Linked DNA regions of Caenorhabditis elegans. The protein of the gene in region 1 interacts with the protein of each later gene in a pairwise test. Each region holds a gene or a part of one and is shown on either strand. Other genes may lie near its edges.

Region 1 (5,782 bases):
GGAATTGAAAGTTTTCGGCAAAATGGCAAATTGCCGAAATTGAAAAGTTTTGGCAAATCGGCAGATTGCCGGAATTAAAAATTTCGGGAAAACCGACAAATCGCAGGAACTGAAATTTCCGGCAATTGGCCGGAATCGAAAATTTCCAGCAAATCGGCAAATCGCCGGGAGTGAAAATTTCCGGCAAATCGGCATCTTTCCAAAATTAAAAACTTCCAGAAAATCGGCAAATTGTCGGAATTGAAAATTTCCGGCAAATCGACAAATGGCCGGAATTAAACATTTCCGGCAAACATAATTTGCTCTTTTTTGGAATTGCGGTATGTTGTTTTATCTTTTGGATACGGGTTTCAATCAATAAACACCATTAAATTTTTTTTCTGAAAAGACGTCAACAAAACCAACACGCACAAAACACTTTTCTAACCTGAAAAATTCCGTGTGACCGAACAAAAATTCATTGCAAAAACTTTTAATTTCAGACTTCCTCCTCACGAAATGCGCTAAACTCGAAATTCTTGAAATAGTTTTGATAACAAGTAACATATTTATAAGATCGATTGTGATGAGAAAAAAACAGTTTAAAAAAAACATGAAATTGAACTAAAAAGATAATAATCAAAGTTATCAAGAACGTTTAAAAAATTGGCTCAGGCTTTGGATCCATGAGCAACTCTTCCGGCTTCTTTTCCATGTGCGTTGGCGGAATATGTTTTGGCTCACTCGGTGCGGCGGCCACTTGTTTCGCAAGGTGAGGATTTCGGTTTCTCACAACTTTAATCATGCGTCTTGGTGAGGCAGATGTTGGCTGATTTAAGAGATCCGTTTTATTCTCTACCGATTTTCTTGTTCGGTAACTCATTGAACCAAATGCAGTCGTTAACATTCTTCCTAGACGGACCGCTGGTTTCTCTACGTTCGTTTTGGTTGGTGGTTTTTTTTCAACGGGGCTCGAAGATTCCACGTGGGTAGGTTTGTTTTGAAGAAGCGTAGGTACTAATTCTTCTTCTTCTTCTTCCTTTTGAGGCGCCCCAAATGATTGACGTATTCCCTCCATCTCGGATGAGCTTGATGAGTCTGTGGACGTAGAAGGCTGGTTTTGTGCACGTGGCGCTGTAGTCAATGCGTCTTTAAGAGTATTAGTGCGAAGAACGACATTCCCTTGAACTACAACTTTCGGAGGTCCGGTTCCGTTTTCAAAACGCAAGTATTTCTTTCCATTGACAACACAGAACTTTAGTGGCGCAGATGGCGGAGTGGGGGAGCTTGGCTTCTCACCAAATGCATTACGAGCATAAGAAACTTTGGATTTGTGCAAAAGCGCCTCGTCGGCAATTGAATGACCTTCCAAAACACGCGTTGCTAGGTGAACATAGTCAATTGGAGTTTTCGTTTTTTTTGCGTTCCATGAGATACTCGATGATCCAGCATCATCCTGTTCAGGCGAATGAAGCTTTCGCTTTCTGCGTTCTACAGTGTTCTGCATCTCACTTTGATTGGGAATATACGGTTCACTAGGTGCATCTTCACTGTGATCTCGATAAGCTTTTGCAGCTGCAGCAGCAAACTTGTTGTCAAGAATATCCTCGATTTTCCGTCTCCGAGATGTGAAACGATTATCTTTCCCATTGATGAGTTGAATGAGTTCTTGCTTATCAGCATCACTGAGGCTAAGATTATGATTCAGCAACTCATTTAGATTCGTCGATGGAGGCACCTTAAACGAATAATTTTTTAAATTTTTTTAAAATTTTCACAAGTGTCACAAGACTCACCGATTGCAAAAGCGCAACCAGCTCTGAGAACGGTTTGGGAGACGGTTTACTGAGAGACCCATTGACCATCCTTGGCACGTGGTTACGGTAATAAGATTTAATGGAATTCTTGAATGAGTAAAGCGGAGTGTTCGACGTAACCTTCCCTTTGTGCAGGTCGCCGACTCTCTTAAAACATTTCACCGTTGTAGAACAACGAGATATGACAATCAAACCTTCAGTGCTCTATAGATATCATGGCCACGCATCAATCTGTCCGGTGGCATCTCATTGATCTCGCTTTCCGTTTTAGCTTCAAAGGCGTCGCACATCATTTCGTACTGAAAAAGTGGTGTATGGTTTTTTTTAAACTAAAATCTCTAAACTAAAAGGGGGCAGGATAGCTCAGTCGGTAGTGGTGGCCGCTAGCAATCTGGAGGTCACAAGTTCAAGTCCAACCTCACCACCTAGGTTTTCATCCAGCCTCTATTGGTAAGTAGAGCAGTCCACGATAGGATTATCGGCCACAGTCCCCGGCTAGGACGTGGCTTAAATTATAACTCAGTGGGAGCACCACCTGAATCCCAGATCCGTAGTGCATAGGACTTGAAGAACGGATCGTCCTTTAATTCTTGTTTTCTAGTCTAATGTATTAATATCGATCACATATATAAAATAAAATAGAGGTTGTACTAAACAAAACACCAAAAATTTTGAACTTTTGCCATGAAAATTATAAATAAAATTAATAACTTTTAAATTAGAATTTATGTTCTAATCAGCTTTAGAAAAGTTTTCACAGCTTTTCAAACTTAACTATTTTGAAAAAAATACTGAACAACTTACTACAAAATCAACATGATCATAGCACATCCTTAGCCTCTCATGACGAATCGCTTTCTCTGCAGTTGCCATTCTAAAGTGGCCAGACATCACTGCCGCCATCAAAACTTTCACAGCTTCGTTATCAGTCATTGCAATGCTTTCTCGCATTAAAAGAGCCTTCTCGCAGAGTATGCACGGAGTCAGATAGGTACAATACGTGTAGTCACTCGGTTGAGATCCCTCTCGTGTGGCACGGGGTTTCGAGGGGCTGGGTTCACTTGGAAAGTGTGAAAAAATTTCCGCGCTACTTTTGAATTGTCCCTTGCTTGCAGCCGCCGTCAGAACATCCTTCACGCTTTGCGTTGGTGTTGAGTTTGGAATTGTATTCGCAAAATGCTTCATGATCGAAGCAGACTCAGCTGATTGTTCTTCAGTTGCTGAAGCTTTTTTCTCTTGGAGCTGAAACCATATACGCATTATTATGAATAATCTTCAAACATTTCTGCTTACCAATCGAACAGATTCCATTGACTGGGTAGGTGTTTGTATTGTCTTGACTTTTGGAATTGTCTTTTTTTCAGCTTGTACATTGGAGTTTGGCTGAAACATTGAAGATAGAACACTTCTTATTCAACCTTATCATGATTCAAAACGACCGAATATCATAATAAAACACTCCAAAAATTTTTAGATCTTTCATAATTTCCAGTCAAAGTTTTGGCATATTGCCAAAACTATGAAAAATATGAGCTTTTGAGGAAATCCACAGCAATGTCGCATGTTCCGACCCCAACAATGTTTTAATACAAGTAGGCAAAACAAAATTGCATTTTAAATGTAGGAGAACATTTTTTTGTCGACTTCCAAAATTATGATTGGCAAACACTGAATGATTGTCACTTTTTGACAGTAAATAAAAAATTTTCAAAAAATGTTTGAAAAGTTTTATTTTGATATTTGGTCCTTTTGGCACTAAAGGAGTAGTTTTTAACAATTTCCCCACTGGCGCTACTCCACCTTTAACTAGATATATCAGAAAATGGGAGAAAATCCTTAAAAAGCCATACCTCTCTTTTGACACCAACAACAACTGCGGCAATTGGGTTGAAATGCCGGACGAGCTCCTGGAAACATGTGAGCTGCAGAGCATCCGTTCCAATGCCGGCACTTTTAACAAACTTCATCGCTAGGGCATTGCATTTCTTGTTGAAAGCCATCCGATCGTTCGCCAAGCTTGACATTCGCATAGCATCAACGTTTTTCATTCGAAATTTTCTTTTCGCAATGATTTCTTCTTTTTCATCTGCCGAGACAACATCTTTAGCTGGAGCCGCTGGAGCCAACATTAGGAATCTGAATAAGTGATAGTGTATGATAAGCAAGATAGGAAAGTAAAGGAAAATTGTCATTTGGTGATGTGAAACCATTTGGAAAGAATTAGAAAAAAACCAGTTGGCATCAAATTTCGGTGAACATTTATAAAACTGATATAAAACTACAAAATATAAAAATGATGAGATCATCTCATCATTGTGAGGTTTCAGATGAATGATGATTAAAATAAATAGGTAAAATAAAAGTGGTAATTTTAAGGGCAATCAAAGTAACAGGGTAAAACTATGCGTATGACTTAATCATCAAAAACATCAATGGAGAAAAAATTATATATAAAAACAACAATCAGGAACGGTGGATGAAAATATTTCCACTTATTCGTTGCTGGGTGGTGTGGGGGTTGGCAGCTTATTAGCATCTTTGCGCGGTCGTCCGACTGGCTGAAAAAATATAAAAATAATTCAAAGCATATATTTTTCAAAAACTCACTCTTCCAGCAATCTTGGGCTTTTTAACAATTGGAGATTCTTCATACTCTTCCTCCTCCTCTTCCTCATCAGCAAAAGCAAAGCTTCGTCTAGCAACAGCTTGTCGAATCAATCTTCCACTTGGTGTTTTTTCAGGCACGTATTCGCAATCTTCGCCGACAATTTCTCCGTCTTCGAGTTGTACGTAACCTTTCTTAAGTGCACGTCGTTGAGATGTTCCCGGATTGTAGTCGTAGTCGGTGAGGCTTTTTTCAGCTTCTGGTGTTACACTATTCTTGGGATACTTCCTTGGGCGCCCTCTTGGGTTCGGAGTATGAGCAGGTGGTGTTACCAAGTTAAGAGGTCCATCCTCGTTTGACAACTCCCGCTTTCTATAGGTACGTTTTATCACTGGAGCATTGTTGTAAACTGCTGCTTGACTGGGCTCGTCGTCTGAAGTCTCTTCCGTTGGGGATCTTGACATTTCTTCATATTCCTCTTCTTCTTCTTCTTCCTGAGTATATTCAACACCGTCGGGGTTTAACATATTCGCCAAATCAATGGCTGAATTCTTATCAGTTCCAGACTTGCGCTCTTTGAGTTTGAGGAAGTTGTTCCCTTGAATGATATACGTGGTCTCAACTTTTTCTGGAGCAGCATCTGGAATCATTCCTTTCAAAAGTCTACCACGACTGCTGAACGCTGCATCTGGGAAATGGCTTCGGCAAATTAGGTTTTCCGTATTGGTGTGAAGTCGGGCTTCAAATTCTGGTCCAAGCTTATCCACCCATCTAGCCAAACGTTCCTCACTTCTCGGGACACGAAGCATTCCACCTCGGTCGCCACGTTTCGAACAGAAGCAGCAAACGCCCGGATTGTCGCATTCCTCATTTTCAGACGGTTTGACAGTTGGGAGCTTGAAATCTTCCTGCTCTATAACCTTGACAGTTCCGTCATGCTGATCAGCTTCCAGAACTTGCTTGCGTGGCTGGCGAAAGAGTTTCGGTATGATTTCTTGCTCATCCACATCGTTTCTCTCTGGCTCAGGTTCGGGCTCGCGGTAGTCAAAGTATTGTTGTCCAAGTTTCTTCAATTCCTAAAAACAATTAATTTGTTTCAAAATGTGCAATTTTAAAAACGGAAACTTACCGCTGGCGTTTCACGAAGATGATTATTTCTTTCGGCAAAATCGTGAAGAATCTTTCGAAGTTGTGAAGCAATAATGTGTGGACGGAGGGCGGAAACAGTGATCAATGCGTTCTGAATCAAGTCCAATGGGCAAATCAGAATATCATCGGCAGATTTCAGACGTAGCATCTGGTAGATCTCGTCGAGGGTCTCCAGGAAATGGAGACGGCAAATGTACGTTTTGCTCTCACGCGCCATGAAAAGCTGTGCCTG
Region 2 (5,162 bases), 4.5 Mb from region 1:
ATTTTTTTATTGAAATAATATAGCAAACTGTAGTGCTCAGTGCAAATTTAAAGCTCATTTAAAAATGCAATAGATGTGCTTTTAGATGGAACGCTGAAAAAGTATTTGGTAACAATTCCAGCGGAAAAATATTTTGTTAAAACCCTAGACAGTTTTGTAGTAGCTTCATTTTCTCGAATCAAGCGCAGTGACCATAGTTTCAAAATATTTTCCCTTGTTTGGCATACGCTCCTACTTCAAAATTATATTTAAAAATTTAAAACATTATATTCGTGCAACTGGAATTTTAAGAAGGACAACACTTTAAACTTCTCAGTAACGCGAGTTTTAGATGTCGACGTCGGCTCATCTCGCCGATATACAATTATTTACGGCATTTCGTTCAGCTCTATTGATTAGTAACCAAAAACATACGCTTCCATTTCAGGTGGGCGAATTCCGACGATTTTGAGAATTTTACATCATCTGTTCTATGAAAATAACCTACGCAAATACATTGTGATCAAATTTTTTTTTGATGTTTGAATGATAAATGATTTATTGAAATAAGGTCAAATAAATGCGCAGAAATCAGCATGAAAGTTACAAAATGGGAAGAAGATTTTGGGATTTTCAACAAGAAATTGTCACAATATCTAGTTAATTGTTGGGAAGTCGCCTGATTAGGCAGTGCTCTGGCGTTGGATGTGGGTAGCACGTTCCTGAAATTAATATCAATGTTGTAAATATAATGACATTTAATTGTTGATCTCACCTCTCCTTCTTTGTTGAAGAGGATGGTTTGGACGTTGTTTCCGCTTCCGAACGAGTCTTCAGCATCATAGACCAATTGATCTGGTGGTGAGGCAACTCCTTGGTTACGGGCGAAGATTTTGAGGGTCTTTCCGGCACGAAGGACAAAGTCTCTTGGAAGCGTGTAGACATTCTCACGTTTTCCGTCGATACGTCTCTTCAACTTCCACTCACCGATAGCCTGAAAGAGAACAAAAAATATTTGAAACTGTTGTGATTCAAGTTCCTACCTCGTCCTTGGCACGATGTGTGTTCTGGAGGACGATGAACTTTCCATCCGGCGATGCCTCGTGGATAGAAACATTTCCCTTTGCAGAACGCTGGAACGATTGACGGGATGCAGTTTCGCCCTTGACGACTCTCATCGTCTCTGAAAAAGGATGTATGTTTTAATGGAAAAAATTGTCTTTCTGCTACCGGTATCGGTTTCCTGTGTGATAGCATGGGTCTTGACAACCTGTTCGACAAGTTGCTTGAGTCCAGCACGGTTCTCTTCTCCTTCGAGCATCTTTCTGTAGATGGCGATTTCGGCATCCAAAGTTTGTTTGGTATCCAGGAGCATTTGCAATTCGACCATAAGGGCTTGGCATTCCTCACGCATTTTGCGGATTTGGGAATCTCTGTCGTTGAGGGCTGCTTCATAAGATCTCTGATCATCTTCCAATTGGTAGTTGAGCTCTTGAATTTGTTTCTCGAGGAGAGAGTTGCGGCTTTCAAGATCAGCGAGCTTTCCACGCAAATCGCTGAGTTGGGTGCGGAGTCTTTTGACTTCTTCTTTGGCATACCCTTGTTCCATGTTCTGTCTGGCAGACTGCGTTTGGATCTCTTGGACCTTAAGACGATACCAGGATTCCATGTCATTACGGTGAACGTTGTTGACTTGGTCATATTCCTCACGGATGTCACGAATAGCCGAGGAGAGTTCGTTCTTGAAGAACTCGCGGTTTTCTGGAGTAGTATCACGAGAAGCCAAAGTTTGAAGCTCCTTGATCTCATTGTCATGGACACGACGCAAGAAATCAATCTCCTCAAGAAGAGTTTGAACTTGGTTTTGGTAGTCAATACGATTGAGGGTTTCTTGATCCAAGTCGGTACGGGCTCTTTGAAGCTCAGAAAGCAAACGCTGATTCTCTTGCTTGATCCGCTTCACCTCATCCTCAAGCTGAGCAATACGACGTTTCAGAAGGCTAATTTCAGCTTCAAGATTAGAAAGGGTTACTAGAAGTGCGTCGATCTTAGCGCGATCCTGTTCACGGCCCTTGGTGGCATCTTCCAATCTGAAAAATACATTTTGTAGAAAAAGTATAATAACGGTAATATGCTGTTCATAATTTTCAAAACATATGTTCGTACTTTCTGCGCATCTCAGCGAGTTCATCTTGCATCTTCTTGAGTTGACCTTCCATATCCTTGCGTTGCTTATTGGTTTCATCAATCAGCTTTTGAGCATCCTATAATATAGTTTTCTAACCAAAAGTTTCCTTTCTGTATTTTCCTACCACAAGTTCTCCCTCATACATATTACGAATGTTGTGCGTGTCTTTTCCCCATTTGGAACGAAGTGCGTCAAGATCGGCTGCCAATTTTCTATTCTGGGCTTCTAGGAAACGGACCTAAAAAACAACTATTGGGTGTGGTCCATCTTATTCCTATTACACACCTTTTCGATGTAGCTAGCAAGTCGATCGTTCAAATCGCTCATTTCTTTCTTCTCACGTTCACGAGAGTCACGGATGGTTGATGCAGCATTTTGTCCAAATGGCGACAAGCCGGATCCAGCACCTGAGCGCATCTCGGTCACAATTTTGAGCATACGATCTTGGGCTGGAATATGTTGATTTAAATGTTTTGCACAGACAACAATAAACTTACAAGTAACGTTTCCGGTTGTACGCCCTCCGAGCGGAGCTCTAGCTGAAGGTGTTGTGGAAGTGAAAGACATCGCTGCAAATCGTAAATTTCTATTGTGAAAGTGAAAAGGGCCGACTGTACTCGGCAGCTTCGAAATTTCAAAATGAGGTTGTGAGTTGTATGGCAACCCCTGACTGCCGTAATGTGTGACCAAGGAATTAGTCGGAGGCTGACTGTAGAGACAAAAGCGGAGTCTCAACGGTGCGCAAACTAGGTGGGCGTCAAATTTCTTGCACTGCTCCTCACTTTTTATTCAACATTTTCTACTCCTCCTCCTTCATTGCTACCAACCGCAGCTTCCTCCCACACTAATGATAATAGCATGTAGACAAAAGGGATTAAACGAAAATTGCAATTTTTTGAGTTAGTTGAAATTGAGGGCACAAGAAAGGCTTACTCTTTTCAATCACTTCGTAATTGACAGTTCGTGTGGAACTTTGCTCGCTTCGAGCGCTAGAAGCGCTTGATCGTCGCGAAGATGGAAGAGAAACAATATAACCTTCCATAGTCAGAAAATGAAATTTTTTGTTCCTCAACTCTTTTTATACATGGCGGCAGAACAAAACAGGCAATGCAAAATTAATATATTTCAGTATTCTAGACTGTTGTATAAAGAGAAAAAAACCTATGAGTAACCTATGAAAATCTATGAGGAGAAATAGAAAACTCAATCAAATATTATTATTGCCCTTTTCCACGAAAGGAAATGAGATCATAGTTGTTTGCCTATGTATATTTATATTGATTCAAGTCGGTGTTTGGAATTTTTTTGCAAAGGGAGGCGTCAAGAATCACTTTAAAATGGGTGTGAAGTGAGGACGGAACGGCGGCTTCTTGATATCTGGCGCGAATGCGGAAAAAAGAATAGGTGTGAGGGATGGGCGCGTCCTCCAAAAATCATCTCATCCTCAACTCAGTCAACCCTTACGTCGTTACGATTCCTCTCGATTCTACTTTTTTCGCCTATTGGACATGCGTTTTTGCATAAATTCATACGTTTCGAGGCTTTGCTAAAGTGCGAAATGACATTTGAGATTTTTTTGGGTTGAGGTGATTCATTTCAATTTGCTACCGTGCCTACGCACTTTTGTGGAAGAGGAGACAAAAACTAGACAACGCCTCGGAATATATGTTTGTACAAAATTGTTCAAAAATTTGAAGTGAGAAGAAAATTAGCCTTGAATTAACTTTGAGTACTCACGAGTAGTTTATTGATTGATGACTAGTTCAAATGGAATAACGGTGCAAATATGTTTGAAAAAGTTTAGAAACACCTACATATATAAGTTGCGAGAATATGTGTTAGTTGTCTGGTTTTCACAAAAGCGATTAAATCTGGGAACACTCCTATTCTACTTCTGTCACTTTCAAGATTGAATATGGATTCGTTTAAATGAAATTCAAGCAACGGATTGAGCTTTAACTATGTAAAACACTGTATTTTTTCAGCAAACACGGTGTTTTATATTAGCAAGAGTATTTAAATTGCTCAGGTCTAAAAAAAAGTGATGTTTTTTAAACTATATATACATTCAGAAATGATCTACCAAGTTTTTGTAAATAAACTCCTGTTAGATAATTTATTTTGCCGAAGTGAATGCAATTTTCAGCCAGTTACTTACCCGGACGAGTAGTAGTGTACATTTTTATATAAAAAAGTAGTAGGATCTAGTTGCAAAAATATTCACTAGTATAAGATAAGCCTATGCGGATAAATGTGATGCTTCAATGACAATCGGAAAGATATCTCAATAAAAAATTGCGACAAGGCACAAGAAACGAGCCTCTTATTTACCGATGTGCTTGTTCATCTTGCACTCCGTCTTATCTCACTGTTTCATTAATCTTTTTTCTTTAAAAAACGCATGCCTGTAATGTTATTTTTTCAAAGTTTTGAATTTTCAATCGCTGATCAGTTAGATTTGTTAGTCTATGGTAAGCACCTTACCGCGAAATACAAAGGCAAACATTCCGCAACTCACCTCCTGGAAAGTCATCGGAATAATTTAAGTAGTTAAAATGAAGAAACTCACTTTCTCTGGTAATCTCCATCATTTTTGAAATGTTGATTGGTTAGGTACCGCTTCTCACTGAGAGAAGTATCCGTTTGAACGAGTTTCTGGAAAAATGGGAAGATAAACAGTTTTCTCTGCGTTCCAGCATGGCGGTGTACATAAAAAAGATATCTCGGCTCAAACATCCAGGGCTCTCGGCTATTGAACAATTTTCGAAAAGTACATAGTAAAAGGGAGAGGGGTTAAAATGGAACAGAATGATGTGTACAGTAAACAAAAATAAATGGCAGCGGCAAAGAGATGAGGCAGTAGCAAATGCATAGAAAACGGCGGCCCCGTGGCAGGTGAAACTTCATAATTACTGAGGATCATCTACTGTCAACCGGTCTAAAATGAGCGAGAGATCGTGTGAAAGTCGGGGACACTGCGATGGTTGCAGTACAA
Region 3 (7,726 bases), on another chromosome or scaffold:
GAAAACTTACAGCATTATTAGCATATATTCTCGAAGTTATGTTAAAAATAATTTTAACAAGCGGCAGCACTGCTAGAAATCTTGTGGAAATCGTATGCAAGGTTTAACCAAAATCTGGCCTTACTAAAGTCTAACAAAAACTATTCAAAGGTATGTCCACTCTTTGTAAAAGTTAAATATAAATGGTCTACCGTTTTCTATTACATTTTATAAGTTTTTGTCACGTTTTGGAATGGAAATGTGCGACAATCGATATTTCCTCAGAAAGTTGTTAGCGGGGTAAAACCATCCTAGTTTTTGCAATCAATAAACATCAACTTACAATGTTCAAGATTTTTTCTTTATAATCAAATCTGAAATTAAGTTCAAACGAATGTCAGTACATTTCACCATCCCCTGCTTCTGCAACCAACTAATTATCTCGGTCATCACGATTTGTCAGCTGACACTGCTCAACAAGAGTATTTTGTTGTCTGGTTGATCAGTCGTAATGGAAGTAAAATTCTGAAAATTTAGAAAAGATTTTGAAATTTCACAACACTTATTTAAAAATGACATGAGTCACAAGAAGTAACGGGATTTGGAGTGAAAACGTTGATTTTTTGACGTCATGACACAATTTCAGTTTGAAAATCAGTTTATCAAGCCTATTTTTCATTAATGAAAAAACATTCGGAAGAGCCGATATATTGGAAATTGAATACCAAGTTATTATAGAAGTAATAAAAACTTGATTTCATCACAATTTGTTGTGATACGCTCCCCCACCCCCTCACACACGCACACACACACACATTCTCCGGGATACACTCAATTATTACACACTTCGCACTTATTTCTTCAGAATATGAGATCCAAGAACTTTTTAAAACATTGATCAGATCATATATGACAAGGCTATCAATTAAGGAAGTGTATTAATAGATATGGACAAGAAGAGAGCATAACTATCTGTAATTAAGGAATTTCAAATAGTTGACAACCGAGTTTTGGAATTCTTCAATATTTCGACTGTATAGACGTATTACCATTAATAGAAGACTTTTATAAATTTATGAAAATGGATCATCTAAAAGGTAACAGTATAGTTCTGAGAAACTTTAATGAAAATTGGAGACAACCCAGGCTTGAAGAGCCTGAATAAAGTAAGAGTTGATTACTGATAGGTGGAATGGCATTCGATTAATGGCAGTTCAGTCTCGCTTTTTCTGGTTTTGTGTTTCTTTTTTCTTAAGTGGTCTTCGTTTTACTATCCGTTCGTCAAAGTTCACACCTGCCCTTTCGGACATTCAAAAGGCACACACAAACACGAGTTGAAGTTTTTGGTGGATCCCGATGTTTTTTGTCTGTGCTCATCCCTTTTTGCTGAATTTCTTCCGTGTCGCCTCAACCCGAACCAAACCAATATCATTCGAATGTTTAAAACCTCCTGGCCCGCGGGTGCCTGATGCATCGTCTGCGCTTCGGCTCTCGGCGCGCTCTTCTCGAGATCGTATCCCGCCAACTCGTTGGCAAAAACACAATGGCATTTATCAGATACGCAGCGTAGAGTGGGAGGGTGGCTCAGTGCTAGGCAAGAAGGATTACACTGAGGCTCCTCTCTCGCTCCCTGCCGGGCACACTACCTTCGTAGAAGTTGATGATGAGAGATACTTGGAGACAGAGAGACGATCGACGACGCAACGGCGCGGGATGAGATATGTGTGTATGTGTCTTCCCGACGGCAGAGCCCCAACGCACAATCAGTCAGTCTCGAAGCAGCCAGCCAGCCAGCAGCACACACAGGGGCACCATCCATTTGAATACTCCATTTGATCATGTCATTGTATCGTTCGCCATCCGCTGCTCTTCTTAAGAGCCCGTCGCAAGCAGCGTTCGGTGCTCCATTTGGCAGCATGTCCGTCGCCGATCTTGGATCACTCACCAGACTCGAGGTAAATTTTTGAATGTTTTCTACCATTTCTGAACATTTCACTGCCAAAACCCCAAAACCCGTGTTCCATTTTTCATCGAATCGATGTTTCATTGACTGATATTTTGAATTATATCTGTAATTTAAATTTTAGTAAAAAAGGCATCTAATATAGCAACGAAGAATTGAAAAACTTGAAAAATCTCAAATTGTAGTTTTACAGTACTCCTCAGTCTCAAGAAAAATGTTTGTTTTGTCCCTAAATTGAATGATTGACAAATAACGGCGTTTTCAGTTTTGTAAATATTATTTTTCTGCATCAAAATGTATGGAATAAAACAATATTCCGAGCCAAAACACTATTTTCAGAAAAATTTTTAAACTTCCTAGTTTTCTCTATAATTAAACCTTTAGATTCCTTATTCTAAATCTTCATTTTGAAAAATCTGTTCATCATTCATCTCGGCAACTAGTTTCTTTGTGTAACTAAGATTTGCAACCTTTGTTTAACTTACTGCTTGCTTACATATATTTCCAAGAAAAAGTAGAACCCTAATTCTCAGATTTTCAAATATAGCACTTATAAAAAACAAAAATTACGCTTTTTTTCTTTGAAAAAACAATTATTTTTTGACCCCATATTTTCTCATGGTTCTAGCTACTGAATTTGCGATTATTGCCAATTGCCTGCAAAAACATTTTGTCAATTAAAATAAAAACAATTACCAAATCATTCGCTGGTCTATTTCCAAAAAATGCACTCTACGTCTCTCATATCTATAAGCTATTTTCACGTTTCTCTTATAATCTCCCACACTGTGTTGTAAAATTTCGAAGAAACCTAATGCATTATTTGTTAAGCTTAGATATCAATTCAAAAAAAAAACTAAATGGTAATATCGAATTGTATGCTACGAGTGTATTCTTGTCGTTTGATCTCAAGAAATTCCGGGACATTTAAATTTGTGACGTCAGGATGTTTATCTTCACAGTACTTTAAAAATATTCCCCACTCGGCACTAAATTTATAGGTCCGTGTAATAAGGTTCATCAAGAAGTTCAATCAGAATCGGAATCCATACTTTTTTTATCTGAATCAGTTCTTGAAACAATTAATTCTTCAAAGATTTTACAAATTAATACAGTTTCACTTTTCAGGACAAGATCCGTCTTCTCCAAGAGGATTTGGAATCAGAGCGCGAACTCCGCAACAGAGTGAGTTTTTACCTTTTATCTCTGATACCATGATTGCCATTTTCAGGTTGAACGTGAGCGTGCCGATCTCTCCGTTCAAGTTATTGCTTTGACTGACAGACTCGAGGATGCCGAGGGAACCACCGACAGCCAAGTGAGTTTCCAGTTTTTATGAATTTCAATTTAAAGAAACATCTTATACCTTTAAACATTATAATTACAGATCGAATCGAACCGCAAACGTGAGGGAGAACTCTCAAAGCTTCGCAAGCTCCTCGAGGAGTCTCAACTTGAATCCGAAGATGCCATGAATGTTCTCCGCAAAAAGCACCAGGTACAGTAATCTTTATGCTATAGCTTAAAGAATTCGTGAAATTTTAGGATTCCTGCCTCGACTACCAAGATCAGATCGAGCAACTCCAAAAGAAAAATGCCAAGTAAGTTATTATCTTTATTTTCTAAGTTTTTTTTCGTATTAGTACTTGTGCCTTCATTTTCTTCTTCTTCTTCTTCTATCTTCCCGCGTTGAAATGGCAGCGGAGGAGTTGGCGGCTCGGCAGAAGCTCTGAAGAAGAAGTATAAGAAGATGAAGAAGCATCAGCTCAAAGTGTGTAAAATAACAAACGTTTCTCGTGTGTGTGTGTTTGTTTCGCCTTCCAGGAAGAGATGAGAGAGATACAAGAATGTCTGCGTCTTACTGATCTTCTCAATATCTCTCACATTTCTCTCATTGATCTTGATGCTTGGCGAGCAATCTGCGTTCCCGTGAAACAGTGGTGGTGGTAAAAAATAATGAGATTAAGTTGGGATGAGAAGTTGAGATGAACGGGAAGGGGACAGCTTGAGAACTTGAATGACGAATGCATGAACATATTATAGAATATTTAAAAATGTAGTAAGGATCAAACATTATTTGTTTCATAACAAGGGGTTGCTAGCCTAGTCTTGCACCTCCTATCCTCTAGTTTTACAGCTCATATCTCGGTTATTTTTCATTTATGAACACATTTCAACAACAAAAATGCGTGAGAAATCCTGTATATTAATAGGAAAAATACTGTATTTTTCCCATTTAAATTACGATGGATTCATTTTATGATGTCTCTTTTTTTTGCTCAAATAACTTTCAATGAAATCAAGGAAAATCTTCCGTAATTTAAAACACATTTCTAGAATCTATGTTAATCTTTTAAACAATGTACATAGATGATCTATTCAGTTGTAAAATAAGTTTTAGTTGTTCCCTTCTTGCGTTCAAAAATCTTCGAGTTCAACTTTCCCATGAAAATAATTGTGTGCAACTCTTGACGTAATGTTTTTAAATCCAAAATTAGTTTATACTTTTCCACCCACTATCAATAGTTTCACCTGTCCAAACCGGCTGCTTTCTGACATCATTCATAGCCAAACATATTGTTGACACATCAAGAATTACTTGTTCGCCGCTGCTTGACTTTTTGTTAAATTCCAAATATCCTCCCATCCCACGCAATATCATCATCATTCAGGATCGACCGCGAACGCCAACGCGTCCAACACGAAGTCATCGAGTTGACCGCCACTATCGACCAGCTCCAGAAGGACAAACACACCGCTGAGAAGGCCGCTGAGCGCTTCGAAGCCCAAGCCAACGAACTTGCCAACAAGGTCGAGGACTTGAACAAGCACGTCAATGACCTCGCCCAACAACGTCAACGCCTTCAAGCTGAGAACAATGATCTTCTCAAGGTTTGTTTTTTGAAGTATCATGTGTATAATCTCTAGTTTTATCATCTTTATCACGTGCCACCGATCACTCTGCTCATCTTTCTACTTTTTTTTAGCAAAAAAATGCGGTAAAAAGAAAAAAAGAAACCCCTTTTAACAGGGGGTTTCTTTACTAAATTCTCTATTTTATCGCTACTATTTCCGCAGAGTGTGTGTGCAAATAGAGTACTCGAGATATTAGAAAGGAGGATGCTCTGTGAGCCTCATCGTTTTTTTGTCTCGTTCAGTGTGTTCTGTTAGCAGATCAGGGATCGTTAATGTTTTTCAGGAGGTTCACGACCAGAAGGTTCAACTCGATAACCTTCAACACGTCAAGTACACCCTCGCTCAACAGCTCGAGGAGGCCAGACGTCGTCTTGAGGATGCCGAGCGCGTAAGTCTACTAGTCCAAAGTGCCAAATTCAGAGGCGGAAATATCGGGTTTCTTCCTCTGACGCATTTCTGGACATTAAAAAAGCATAAACGTGCGAAGATCAAAGAACGTTGAAATTTCAGGAGCGCTCCCAACTTCAATCTCAACTCCACCAGGTTCAGCTCGAGCTCGACTCGGTCCGCACCGCTCTCGATGAGGAGTCGATTGCCCGTTCCGATGCTGAGCACAAGCTCAACCTTGCCAACACTGAGATCACCCAGTGGAAGAGCAAGTTCGATGCTGAGGTCGCCCTTCACCACGAAGAAGTTGAGGATCTCCGCAAGAAGATGCTCCAGAAGCAAGCTGAGTATGAAGAGCAAATCGAGATCATGCTCCAGAAGATTTCTCAACTCGAGAAGGCCAAGTCTCGTCTTCAATCTGAGGTCGAGGTTCTTATCGTTGATCTTGAGAAGGCCCAGAACACCATTGCTCTCTTGGAGCGTGCCAGAGAACAACTCGAGAGACAAGTTGGAGAACTCAAGGTCCGTATCGATGAGATCACTGTTGAACTCGAAGCTGCTCAACGCGAACTCCGTGCCGTCAATGCTGAGCTCCAGAAGATGAAGCATTTGTACGAGAAGGCTGTCGAACAGAAGGAGGCTCTTGCTCGCGAGAACAAGAAGCTCCACGACGAACTTCACGAAGCCAAGGAGGCTCTTGCCGACGCCAACCGCAAGCTCCACGAGCTCGACCTCGAGAACGCCCGTCTTGCCGGAGAAATCCGTGAGCTCCAGACTGCCCTCAAGGAGGCTGATGCTCAACGCCGTGACGCCGAAAACCGCGCTCAACGTGCCCTTGCTGAGCTCCAGGCTCTTCGCATCGAAATGGAACGTCGTCTCCAAGAGAAGGAAGAAGAGATGGAGGCTCTTCGCAAGAACCTTCAATTCGAAATCGACAGACTTATTGCCGCTTTGGCTGATGCCGAGGCCCGCATGAAGTCCGAGATCTCTAGACTGAAGAAGAAGTACCAGGCTGAGATCGCTGAGCTCGAGATGACTGTTGATAACCTTAACAGGTAAATACTAATTTTTTCAACATTCAACCCTTAAATTCATAAATTACAGAGCTAACATCGAAGCCCAGAAGACCATCAAAAAGCAATCGGAGCAACTCAAGATTCTCCAAGCCTCATTGGAGGATACTCAACGTCAGTTGCAACAAGTTTTGGACCAATATGCCCTCGCTCAACGCAAGGTGAGTTATCATTTTTGTGGTCTCTTAATTCATTTTTATATATGTTTAGGTCGCCGCTCTCTCTGCTGAACTCGAGGAATGCAAGACCGCTCTCGACAACGCTATCCGCGCCCGTAAGCAAGCCGAGGTTGACCTCGAGGAAGCCAATGGACGTATCTCCGACCTTATCTCCATCAACAACAACCTCACCTCCATCAAGAACAAACTCGAGACTGAGCTCTCCACCGCTCAAGCTGATTTGGATGAGGTCACCAAGGAACTCCACGCCGCTGATGAGCGCGCCAACCGTGCTCTTGCTGATGCTGCCCGTGCCGTTGAACAACTTCATGAGGAACAAGAACACTCGATGAAAATCGATGCCTTGAGAAAGTCTCTTGAGGAGCAAGTCAAGCAACTCCAAGTTCAAATTCAAGAAGCTGAGGCTGCCGCTCTTCTCGGAGGAAAGAGAGTCATCGCCAAGTTGGAGACCAGAATCCGTGATCTTGAGACCGCTCTTGATGAGGAAACCAGAAGACACAAGGAGACCCAGAATGCCTTGAGAAAGAAGGATCGCCGCATCAAGGAGGTTCAACAACTCGTTGATGAAGAGCACAAGAACTTCGTTATGGCTCAAGACACCGCTGATCGTCTTACCGAGAAGCTCAACATCCAGAAGAGACAACTTGCTGAGTCCGAGTCCGTAACAATGCAAAACCTCCAGAGAGTCCGCAGATACCAACACGAGCTCGAGGATGCTGAGGGCCGTGCCGATCAAGCCGAGTCCAGCCTTCACCTCATCCGTGCCAAGCATCGTTCATCTGTTGTCACCGGAAAGTCATCCTCCAAGGTATTTTAATTTTCTTTTTTTGTTGAAAATACTTTGATTTGTCAATACTTTAGATTTTATGTTAAACGCTCATAGTTAGAATAGACAAATACTTTAATCAAAAATGGTTCTAATTTCAATAAGAAAATTTCAAGAATTGTTTTTGTCTGTGTCGGAAAACAGAAATCCTGAGCAACTACTACTTATCATTTTATCTTTAAAAAAATTTGTTCCCAACACCTTAATTATTTTACGTCACTTGTTTTTCACATTTTTCGTTTGTTTTTTCTTGCAGATTTTCGTCACGGAAGACGATTATTAAACATCCCAAAAAGCGTCGCCATACATCAAATCATCAAATAAATTGCTAATAAGATGTGTATAATTGTTTTATTTTTCTTCTCTATTTCTTTCATGTTCTTCTTCTCTTTCTTTTTAAATT

The links. Proteins that work in one complex are often made in the same cells at the same time.
Region 2: the proteins of lin-15A (region 1) and ifa-1 interact in a two-hybrid assay, tested with the Caenorhabditis elegans proteins (2 studies listed by BioGRID).
Region 3: the proteins of lin-15A (region 1) and unc-15 interact in a two-hybrid assay, tested with the Caenorhabditis elegans proteins (2 studies listed by BioGRID).

Annotation. Positions count from the first base shown.
Region 1 is NC_003284.9:15,730,118-15,735,899, reverse strand, and holds lin-15A (Protein lin-15A), read right to left. Parts: upstream 3,933-5,782; 5' UTR 3,926-3,932; coding exon 3,647-3,925; intron 3,180-3,646; coding exon 3,090-3,179; intron 3,039-3,089; coding exon 2,601-3,038; intron 2,096-2,600; coding exon 1,991-2,095; intron 1,944-1,990; coding exon 1,776-1,943; intron 1,718-1,775; coding exon 638-1,717; 3' UTR 535-637; downstream 1-534. Other genes in the region: Protein lin-15B, read right to left, coding at 4,289-4,354, 4,404-5,477, 5,531-5,782. UniProt on the Caenorhabditis elegans protein: Synthetic multivulva (synMuv) class A protein. SynMuv proteins are required to repress the induction of vulval development.
Region 2 is NC_003284.9:11,270,844-11,276,005, reverse strand, and holds ifa-1 (Intermediate filament protein A), read right to left. Parts: upstream 3,210-5,162; coding exon 3,101-3,209; intron 2,737-3,100; coding exon 2,665-2,736; intron 2,617-2,664; coding exon 2,453-2,616; intron 2,406-2,452; coding exon 2,292-2,405; intron 2,244-2,291; coding exon 2,146-2,243; intron 2,070-2,145; coding exon 1,210-2,069; intron 1,163-1,209; coding exon 1,023-1,162; intron 974-1,022; coding exon 755-973; intron 702-754; coding exon 663-701; 3' UTR 524-662; downstream 1-523. UniProt on the Caenorhabditis elegans protein: Cytoplasmic intermediate filaments make up the structural component of the cytoskeleton providing mechanical strength to cells.
Region 3 is NC_003279.8:7,377,175-7,384,900, reverse strand, and holds the start of unc-15 (Paramyosin), read left to right. Parts: upstream 1-1,703; 5' UTR 1,704-1,817; coding exon 1,818-1,934; intron 1,935-3,070; coding exon 3,071-3,127; intron 3,128-3,173; coding exon 3,174-3,260; intron 3,261-3,329; coding exon 3,330-3,440; intron 3,441-3,487; coding exon 3,488-3,543; intron 3,544-4,614; coding exon 4,615-4,834; intron 4,835-5,141; coding exon 5,142-5,246; intron 5,247-5,368; coding exon 5,369-6,300; intron 6,301-6,349; coding exon 6,350-6,479; intron 6,480-6,528; coding exon 6,529-7,305; intron 7,306-7,579; coding exon 7,580-7,606; 3' UTR 7,607-7,726. UniProt on the Caenorhabditis elegans protein: Structural component of the muscle thick filaments which is involved in assembly and organization of sarcomere myofilaments. Involved in ovulation.